2 linked regions of the Sus scrofa genome follow. The protein of the gene in region 2 purifies or fractionates together with the protein of the main gene of each other region. This does not show direct contact. Links are inferred from orthologs where the notes say so. Each region holds a gene or a part of one and is shown on either strand. Other genes may lie near its edges.

Region 1 (5,275 bases), on a different chromosome or scaffold from region 2:
GTCACACTTCATCTGTCTCCTTAAGTAATACTTGTTTAGTGCTTGTGCTGTTTAAAAGTTTTGTGCATTGTCTTTATTATCTTTCTCATACTATTAGATGGAAAAGTCTTGTAGGAAAGTGGGCAAGCCTAAGAGGTTTAGAAAACAACCCAAACATAAGCCAATATTGAAGAGAAACTGTTTAGTAATCCAAAGAGACAATATGAGGAGTTCCCATTGTGGCTCAGCAGGTTAAGGACCCAACATAGTCTCCAGAGGATGCAGTCTGATCTCTGGCCTCAATCAGGGGGTTAAGGATCCAACCTTGCAGCAAGCTGCAGACTAGGTCGCAGATGCGGTAGGGATTTTGCCCTGGCTGTGGCAGGCCAGTAGCTACAGCTCGCATTCCACCCCTAGGAACTTAACTTCCATATGCTGAGGGTGGGGCCCTAAAAAGAATAAATAAATAAATAGCAAAGATAAATACAAGGCAAAGATAAATAAATAAAAAGCAAAGGAGTTCTCCTCGTGGCCAGTGGTTAATGAATCCGACTAGGAACCATGAGGTTGCAGATTCGATCCCTGTCCTTGTTCAGTGGGTTAAAGAGCCGGCGTTGCTGTGGCTGTGGCGTAGGCCGGCGGCTACAGCTCTGATTAGACCCCCAGTCTGCGAACCTCCATATGCCGCGAGAGCAGCTCAAGAAAAGGCAAAAAGACAAAAATAAATAAATAAATAAAATTTTTTTAAAAATAAAAAGCGAAGGCAGTACGATGTGAAGGAAAGAATTTGGGGTTGGAAATGAAGAAATCTCATTTCTAGTCCTGTTTCTGTCAATAATAATCTGTTTAACTTTCAGCCTGTCTCCTCTCAGACACTGCGCTTAAGAGGAAAGGAGGGGTATGACCTATACAGCTCAGTTCCACCGTAATACCAAATGAACTTGCTGGCTGATTCGGGAAACTTATTACTAACTGAGGGTGTACTTTTTCCAATTAATGCAACATGAGCTGCTGCCTCAAGCCGTCTTACAACGTCTGGGTTTGTACAGAACTTCACGTTACATACCTCATGCAACAAAGGGCATTTCCCATGTGAAATTTCGCCTATTGAAATTTGTTCTTAATCTTTTTGAGTGTGGACTTCTCCCTTCCACATTTATCCCTACGACAGCTCCATGTGCAACCAAGCTCGTTTTTCACACGAAGTTGAGAAAGGTGAGCACAGTGTGTTTGGAATGAGCCCTTCCTCGCTGGTGGCCCTGGCCCGGCGACAGATACCTCGACCCCTCACCTCTACTTCGGTTCCCCGCCGCATCCTCTGAAGCCCTATACTCCAGACTGACTGCCTATAAGGACGCTGCTGTCACCTACCCCGCTGGGTGGCCGGAACTCGGCCTCACTTTACGCCGTGTAAACAACATCCCCTACCGTCTCCGATCTCGGTGGCAATTCCTTCCTCAGCAGGCGGAAAACAGGTCGTTCCGGCTTCCGGGGCGCTGGAGGAAGTCCGGCCCCACGCAACAGCGTGAGGGGGCGGGTCGCGTCGAGGCGCCGCGCAGGCGCGTAAAGGATTAGGCGATGACGCCACTTCAATGGGCTGCTTACCACTCTGTAGGGTCGACTGGAGGCACGCAGTGTGGGAGGTTATTGCTGCTGTGTCCATGGCGGTGGGGACAGGCCTGGGACCCGTTCAGCAGGGCTTGAGAGAGCAGCTTGTAGACTCCATCTCAAAAAACAACCATATTCTCCCAACGGTGTCCTCCGGGAAATCGAAGCCCCTCTGCCCCCAGCTGTCCTCGTTTCTCGCTTCGCTCCACCTCCCCGTGCCGTTTTTAGTACCTTACTATCATTCGTTTATCAATGTGGGTCCATATCTTGTCGCAGTAATGGCTGTCATTTGCTGCATTGGTTGTGCATCTCACAGCAGTAGCTCATAAGTACCTGGTAATTCTTGACTACTGGACTGATGGAAATTTACTCATCCCTTTACCAAGGACAGGATTGAGCGCCTAAGTAGTCCTGAACTGGACTGTGGCTATGGCACTTTGGGGACCGGGAAGGTAAATTAGAAATTAAAATTGCTGTTGTCCTAGTATCCTAGGCTGTCATAACAGAGTAACACAAATTGAATGGTTTAAAACAACAGATATTTGTTCTCTCACAGTTTTGGAAGATGGAAGTCCGAAAAAAAGGGGTCATCAGGATCGTGTTTCCTGTGAGACTAGGTAAAACCCTTACCTTTTCCTAGTTTCTGGTGTGGTCCATCCCACAATCTTTGGCATTCTTTGGCTTGTAGTTGCCTAATTCCATTCTCTTAACTCTGCTCTAATGGTGTTCTATCTGTGTCTTATTTCTGTTTCATAATTAATCATAATTAAGTTCATTTGTATCGGTTTTTTAGATTCCGCTTATAAGTGATATCATATGATAGTTGTCTTTGACTGACTTCACTTAGTATAATAATCTTTACATCCATCCCGTGTTGCTGCAAAAGGAATTATTTCATTCTTTTTATGTCTGAGTAATATTCTCCCTCCCTCCCTCTCTCTCTCTCTCTCTCTCTCTCTCTCTCTCTCTCTCTCTATATATATATATATATATATATATATATATATTTGGTCTTTTGTCTTTTTAGGGCCACACCCATGGCATATGGAGGTTCCCAGGCGAGGGGTTGAATCGGAGCTGTAGCTGCTGGCCAACACCATAGCCACAGCAACAAGGGATCTGAGCCCAGTCTACGAACTACACCACAGCTCACGGCAATGCCAGATCCTTAACCTACTGAGTGGTGCCAGGGATCAAACCCGAGTCCTTGTGGATACTAGTCGGGTTTGTTAACCACTGAGCCACGACTGGAACTCCGAATATTCTATTGTTTATATGTACCACATCTTTATTCATTCACCTGTGATGGACATTTAGTTGCTTCTAAGTCTTAGCTATTGTAAACAGTGTTGCTGTGAACTTTGGGGTGCATGTATCTTTTTGAACTAGAGATTTCCTCTCTTTTGGATATATGCTGGTAGCAGCATGGGATCTCTGGATTATATGGTAACTCTATTTTTAGTTTTTTAAGCAACCTCCATATTGTTCGCCATAGTGGCTACACCAATTTATATTCCCACCAACAGTGTTGGAGGGTTCCCTTTTCTCCACACCCTCTCCAGCATCTGTTATTTGTAGATTTTTTTGTTGATGCCCATTCTGACTAGTGTGAGATGATACCTCATTGTAATTCAACTTGTATTATTAACATCCCCCCTTAATAGCAAAACCTGACAAAAATAGCACAAGGAAAAAAAAAACCTAGAGACTAAACTCACATAGATACAAAGCTCTGAAGTAAAATATCAGCAAATGCACCGGGGTACTCCATTTGAAACAAGAAAGCATTTATGAAATAATTTAATATTAGAAAATCTGTTGCTATGAATTCTGTTAATAATTTAGAAGTTTAAAACTATATCATCATCTCAACTGATAAAATGTCTTAAAAATTTAATATCTAATTTGACTTCAAAGAGAACACTTTCAGGAGTTCCCACTGTGGTGCAGTGGGTTAAGGCTCCAGCATTGCTGCAGCTGTGGCATAAGTTGCAGCTGCAGCTTGGATTTGATCCCTGGCCTGGCAACGTTCATATGCTGAGGGTGCAGCTGAAAAAGAAAAAAAAAAAAAAAAAAAAAAAAGGAGAGAACACTTTCAGCAAAATGGGAATGGATAAATAGCAACTTGATAAAAGGCACCGGAAGTCTCTAGTAAACATTATACATAGTAAGACACTAGAAACATTCCCATTACTCACTTAAAAAAAAAATTATGACTGCACCCCTGGCACATGGAAGTTCTTGGGCCAGGGATCAAACCTGTGCCTCCACAGTGACCTGCAGTTGGATTCTTAATCCATTGCACCATAGTGGGAACTTGGAGACATTCTCATTAAAGTCAGGAAAAAATGAATACCCACTTTCACTACTAACGTTCAGCATGGTGTTAGACTTTTTAACCAATGCAACAAAACAAGATAAAGACAAGAAAAAAAAATTAGGGAAGGAAGAAGTAAAAACATTATTTTCAGATTATATGATCTTCTTTCTAGACGACGCAGGATAATGAAATGACAAACTAAATGGTTCAGCAAGGTGGCTGAATTCAGTATAGAAACTGAAAGTTTTTGGGGTTCCCGTCATGGCTCAGTGGGTTAAGATCCCGACTAGTATCTGTGATGGATGCAGGTTTGATCCCTGGCCTCAATCAGTGGGTTAAGGATCCTGAGTTGTCACAAGGGGCAGCATAGGTTGCAGATGTGGCTTGGATCTGGCATTCCTGTGACTGTGGTGTAGGCGTGCCGCTGCAGCTCTGATTTGACCCCAGCCTGAAAAAACTTAAAATTTTCTTATGTGCTAGTGATAAAATAGGGTTTAAAAAGGAATCCAATCTGAATACACTGCACAAAAGATGTACAAGACTGTTTATAAGAAATAAGAAGTATTGAAAGGCAGGAAGGACTTAAGTAAACAGAGATATTCATGTTCCAGGATGGGAAAATTTAGCAATTTTAAGATAAAAGTTTATGACAAAAGGTTTTGATACAATGCCTATTAAATGCTGATAGGAACTCCGAAGAGCTTTCTTTGTCCAAAGTATATTATTCTTTTGATACACTCCTGGGTTCCATTTATTGATGTTTTATATAGAATATATCTTATTAGTGAGATTGGTATATAGGATTTTTTTGGTACTACATTAATCAGATGTTGGGATTTAAAATTATATGAGATGCCTTAAAATAAATTAGGAAGCATTTCACATTTTTTCTGTGGTCTGAAGTAATTTAAGTAACTTTAGAACTATCTTTTTTAAGGCTGAACAGAGAGCTCAGCTGTGAAATTATGTTATATGAAGCATTGTTATCTGTGGGTTTTAAGCTACTCTCTTCTACGGTAATTGAATTGCCGATCTTTTCTACTTTTTCTGGGATCAGTTATAATTTATACTTTGCTTGGAATCCATTCATTTCTAAAAGATTTTTCAAATTAGTTGTGTTAGACATAGAATTCTCTTGTGATTTTAAAAATCTGTTCTGCACATGTGGTTGTTTACTTTCTCGTTTCTAACCTTACATATTTTTGCTTTCTTTTTTTCTAAATCAGGCTCACAAGGGATTTGTCCATTTTGCTGAACTCTGCAAAGAACGAGCTTTGGAGTGTATTTTTCTGCTATTGTCTTCTATTTTTCAATTTTACTTTTCGTGGTAGTTCTTCTTCCTACTCTTTTTTTTGTTGTTGTTGTTGT
Region 2 (4,681 bases):
TCTCCTTGGCTTTGAAGAATAGCCAATGAAACTAATCCTTAAGGTGTGAAAACTAAAGGATTTTATTCAATCCAAATATTATACTAGAAGTAGAAACCAGCAATAATATATTTACTTAACAAAGATCTGTGTAATAAAGGACAACTTTTGAGGATTACACACAAAAAGGAACAGAAGTGTCAAAGGTTAATAGTAAGAGGAAAGCAGCCAGATGACAGGGCTCATCCCCTGGTTGAAGCAGTCTTTCTTAGAAGATTCTAACTATATGTGGAGGGCATATCTATACCCTAAGAAGCTAAAGCTGTTACATGTGCAGGAATGTCACAGGTCTAGGTTTCATATTCCAAAGCCCAATGGAGAACAATAGGGTTATCAGGGATCTACCAGAACTATGAGGCAAAGCTTGCCTTTTGGGGACATGTTCCTCTTCTTGCTTGAGGAAGCTCTAAGAGTAGGAACAGGTACTTGAAGTACCTGTTTTTGCCTGATTTTCTAGATGTAAAAGGGATAAGTATCTTTAAGTGTGATAGTACTGCGGACTCCATTTGTAACTACTTTAACTTGGAAAAGCTGCTGACGAGGGAGCAGAGTCCACCTATCTGAGTTAAAGGGAGATGTCTAAGGCTATTGAATTAGCTCAGCAACATGTGAAAATAGTACTCAGGGTCGTCTTCTTGCAACTTACCGCATGTTCACTGGTGCTGCCTTCGTGCTGCATTATGGTTTGTTTTCTCAAGTCAGATGATTCTAAGGACAACAGGACCAGTATCTTCCAAGGATTCTTCTGTAGCATCACTTAAGGAATAAACCCATCACATGAATTCCCTTTGAATAAAATGATGGTAAATCCTTTATGCAGAAAATAAGCCCTTGGATTGTACTCCTTTAAGAATTTGGAAAACGGGGCTATTCTGGGATTATGTGGAATTCTATTCTTGAAAAAATATTTCAATACTACAAAAGTATTCATGGGTTTTTGTTATTAGTAGGGGGTGGTAAGGAGAGTAGCTTTGAACACTTTTTGTTAAGTCTGTGGCTAGAGGGTGATGCTGAGAGAAAGTATACAGGGCTGTTAACATAATGAGGTTAAGAGAGCAGCACTTGGAAGTGCTTTGCAGCAACCCTCGCACCTTGTGTGATGATTGGAAATATGTGATCATGTTCAGCCTGTGCTAACACTGAGGCATGCCCATCTGAGAATGCTCAATTAACAGTCAAGTGAAAAAATCAACTTATTACTTTCATCATTTTATTGACAGTATGGCCAGGACTAGAGAAAGGACTTACTGGATTCAATCAAATTAATAAATACAATAATTTAATTGTAAAAGGAAACAGGCTACTTGAAAATTTTAACAGAAATTGCTAGGGGCAAGGGACTCTTGGCATACAGTCTGCTTGCATATGAGAAGAAAGCACAGAAAGAAAATTAGACAGTCCATATATGGAAGGTTGAGATAAGGGGTTCTGCAGAAAGAAAAGCAAATGTATTGACTGTTCTTTTGAGGTATGAACTGTGAAAAGGAAGACAGTAAAAATGAAAAGCAACTGAACCAGGTAACCAATCTTACAGGCAAAAGGAATAGATATTTGTCAACATCTTGATTTTAGCTGCCAAGCTGATATTGGTTACTCTAGAAACTGCAAAGCTGCAAAAAGTGATCTAATTAGCTGAAAGGTGGGCTGGGTGCGCTAGGCAGGCAAAGGTTACGAATGCCGCTGTACAGTGGGCTCCCTGTATAGCACCAACCACTAGCCGTGACAGCAGAACGGGATGAGTGTAGGCGCTACTGTTAGCATGATAAGGGAAAGGGAGTTATAAGTTGAGAAGAAGGTAAAGAATGGAGTTACAAGGAGAAGAAAACTAATAGTGTAAGTAAGAACAAACACTTGTATCTTCACTTTCTCCATTCTTTAGGTCTGATGAAACAAAATAACTGGGTAAGGACTTCTAAGTCAGTCGAGTTAAATGAAATGATAACAGTTGTAGACTGACTTGCCAACCATGAAGATCAATGCAGGTTTATCAATGTTACTGAAGATTTTGTTTCCACCTCATTACAATGTACGTACACATACTCTTGTCAGTACAGTAGAGACATTAAGGTTCAAAGTACTGGTGTGAAAATTACAATAGATTCAGGAAGGAGTCTACTAACTATAGTTTTGAGAAGCACACAATAGGAAAAGGGAGTTCCCCTGAAGACAAGGAATAGGCAAACAACAGAACAACAACAAAAGGATCAAAGAGTAAAAAAAAGATAGATGATAGGCAGGCATGTTTTCTAACTTTAGCTGAACAGGACATGAGGCCTTGAGGCTAACTAGGTTAAGTGGTACTGGATAAGCTTTATAAAACATGAAGATGGCAAAGGCTCACTTCAGTTTCTCTTTTATACATTAATTTGCTTAAAATCCCAAATACTTGTGCTTGCACTAAGTTCCTAAAAGCAGAAGTAGTGTTCCCTTTTATTCCCTTAAAGCATTTGCCCCTTTGATACAAATGATCTTTACTATGCTAACAGCTGAACCAAGTGACATAAAACTGAGATGGAACTTACTGCAGCAAGGTCCCTGTAAATCAAAATCTGAGCTTTAATAAAAAATCTTATTTATAAAAAATACAATACCAAGTACAGTGAGAATGGAGCATGGAGCAGCAGTGTTCCCTGCCAGGGCCATGTGGAGTGGCTTTTGCTACAGTGCTTGCTTAATGGCACAAGTGAAAAGGTGAATAAGGCAAACACTCAAAGAGGCAGTTTTTTGTAAACTTTTTGGGGTGGGGGGAATTTTTCCTTTGTTGGGACAGATGCTGATTTGGGATGGCTAGGATCAAGTGAGACATTTAGCTGCACTTGATATATGACATTACAGACTAAGACAGCTCCTGCTGGCTGAGACCAGTTCATTGTTTTAGGAGAGAGGTTACCACTTGTAGACTCTTGCCTTTACTGTTAAAATGTGCAGCCTCCAGCTGGTGCCTCCCTATGGAGGAAGTTGCCTCCAAAATTTTCCTAAGTGAAAAGATACAAATAAGCTAAGTCATTCAAAAGTTTCCTTAGCTTAATGCTCCTTAAGAACCCTACACTGATTACTGAGCAACTTTGTTATCAGCGATGTGTGGCTCGACACATATGCTTTAACTAGAATATGTATTCCCACCCAATTGATACCTAATAGTAATAAACTGTAATGACACTTGGAAAACACACATCTTGAGGAATTTTGGCCTCTTCTCATGTCCTCACTTGGAACTTTCCAGCTTTCGTGACATATTTGACTCCTTTAAATGGCTTATATTTCTCCCCATACATGTCCAAACGGTTTACTTTTAAGCCTGTGTCAAAAGAATAGGTAAGGAGAAGAATAAATTACTATCCTGCCCACACAAACTGATACAATATTTGCTTAGCAAACAGTTTACCACAAAGTCAATGTGACATTAACTAGTATCCTTTCTACCATTTGTTGTTGTTGTTGTTGCTTTTTAGGGGCATGTGCACAGCATACGGAGGTTCCCAGGCTAGGAATCAAATCAGAGCTGCAGCTGCCAGCCTTCGCCACAGCCACAGCAATGCAAGATCTGAGCCATATCTGCGACCTACACCACAGCTCATGGCAACGCCGGATATTTAACCCACTGAATAAGGCCAGGGATCAAACCCTCATCCTCAACAATACTAGCTGGGTTCCCTACAGTTGAACTGCAACGAGAACTCCCCTTCTACCATTTGGAAGCAATGTTTCTTCTACCATTCATAGATTATGACACTATGGGGGTATGGTTTTAGCTCAGATTCCCATGTAGGCAAGGAATGTCTTTTTAAGGATAATTCTACTTTCTATGAGTATGAGTGACTCCTTTCTTTGTGCTTGTTGAGGGTAGGGGTGAAGGCAAGCTGTGTGAAATAAGGTGCTCTCCAAACCACCCACAGCAGAGTGAAAGGCATATGAGAGCTGCTGCTCTTTCTACAGAGTGAATGCCAGTTACCCTTCTAAGCTCCTAATAGTTAACTTCAGCAAAACCTAATTACCCTTAAACGCAAGTCAAACTTCTCCTTACCTGAAATAGCAAGCTGCTGGATCTTGAACTGTATGTTGAGGTTTGGATTCTCTTCTGGCTTGGGTGCCCCAGACTGTAAGTTTACCAGTCCTTTAAGACTTGGGAGCTTTTGTGGAGTAATTTTTCCCACATCCCACGTTAGTACCTTAAAAAGACATAAAAACCCAAAACACTCTATTTATTAAAGACAAATGTTCAAAGACAAGGTTCAGAGTTACCATAAACTTGTGTAAAAAATAAAGCAATGTTTTGGAAACCAAGAGACCTGGGATTTCCACCGGATTGTATCATTAATTAGTTCTGTGACTCTGAATGGGGAGTGAGGGTAGAGAACCAATGTTTGTTGAGCGTCTTTTGGATACAGTACTGTGCTTAGCACTGTTCGCATAGCACATCTTATAGAAGTCTGTGCTGTAAATCTGTCTTTTTTTTACAGGTGAGGAAACTAAGGCCCTGAGGTCAAATGACTTGCTCAAGGTCACACAGCTAGTTTAGAGGCAAGGTTGGGATTTGAACCTAAGGCTTCTGTTCTTTCCACTGTATCACCTTTACTATTTCTCTCTGGGCCTAAGTTTATTTTTCCGTAAAATGAGAAGATGGGCCTAATCAGTGTTTTTA

The links. The genes of interacting proteins can lie anywhere in the genome.
Region 1: the proteins of AP3M1 (region 2) and AP3B2 purify together in Homo sapiens (co-immunoprecipitation; 3 studies listed by BioGRID and IntAct, counting the BioPlex papers as one, with this or other methods). This does not show direct contact. The link is inferred for Sus scrofa from reciprocal best matches to the Homo sapiens genes AP3M1 and AP3B2.

The regions. Positions count from the first base shown.
Region 1 is NC_010449.5:52,201,165-52,206,439, forward strand, and holds the start of AP3B2 (AP-3 complex subunit beta-2), read left to right. Parts: upstream 1-1,484; 5' UTR 1,485-1,622; exon of another isoform or gene 1,623-2,039; intron 2,040-2,143; 5' UTR 2,144-2,204; intron 2,205-5,275.
Region 2 is NC_010456.5:76,811,926-76,816,606, forward strand, and holds the end of AP3M1 (AP-3 complex subunit mu-1), read right to left. Parts: intron 4,209-4,681; coding exon 4,064-4,208; intron 3,338-4,063; coding exon 3,237-3,337; 3' UTR 1,238-3,236; downstream 1-1,237. UniProt on the Homo sapiens protein: Part of the AP-3 complex, an adaptor-related complex which is not clathrin-associated. The complex is associated with the Golgi region as well as more peripheral structures.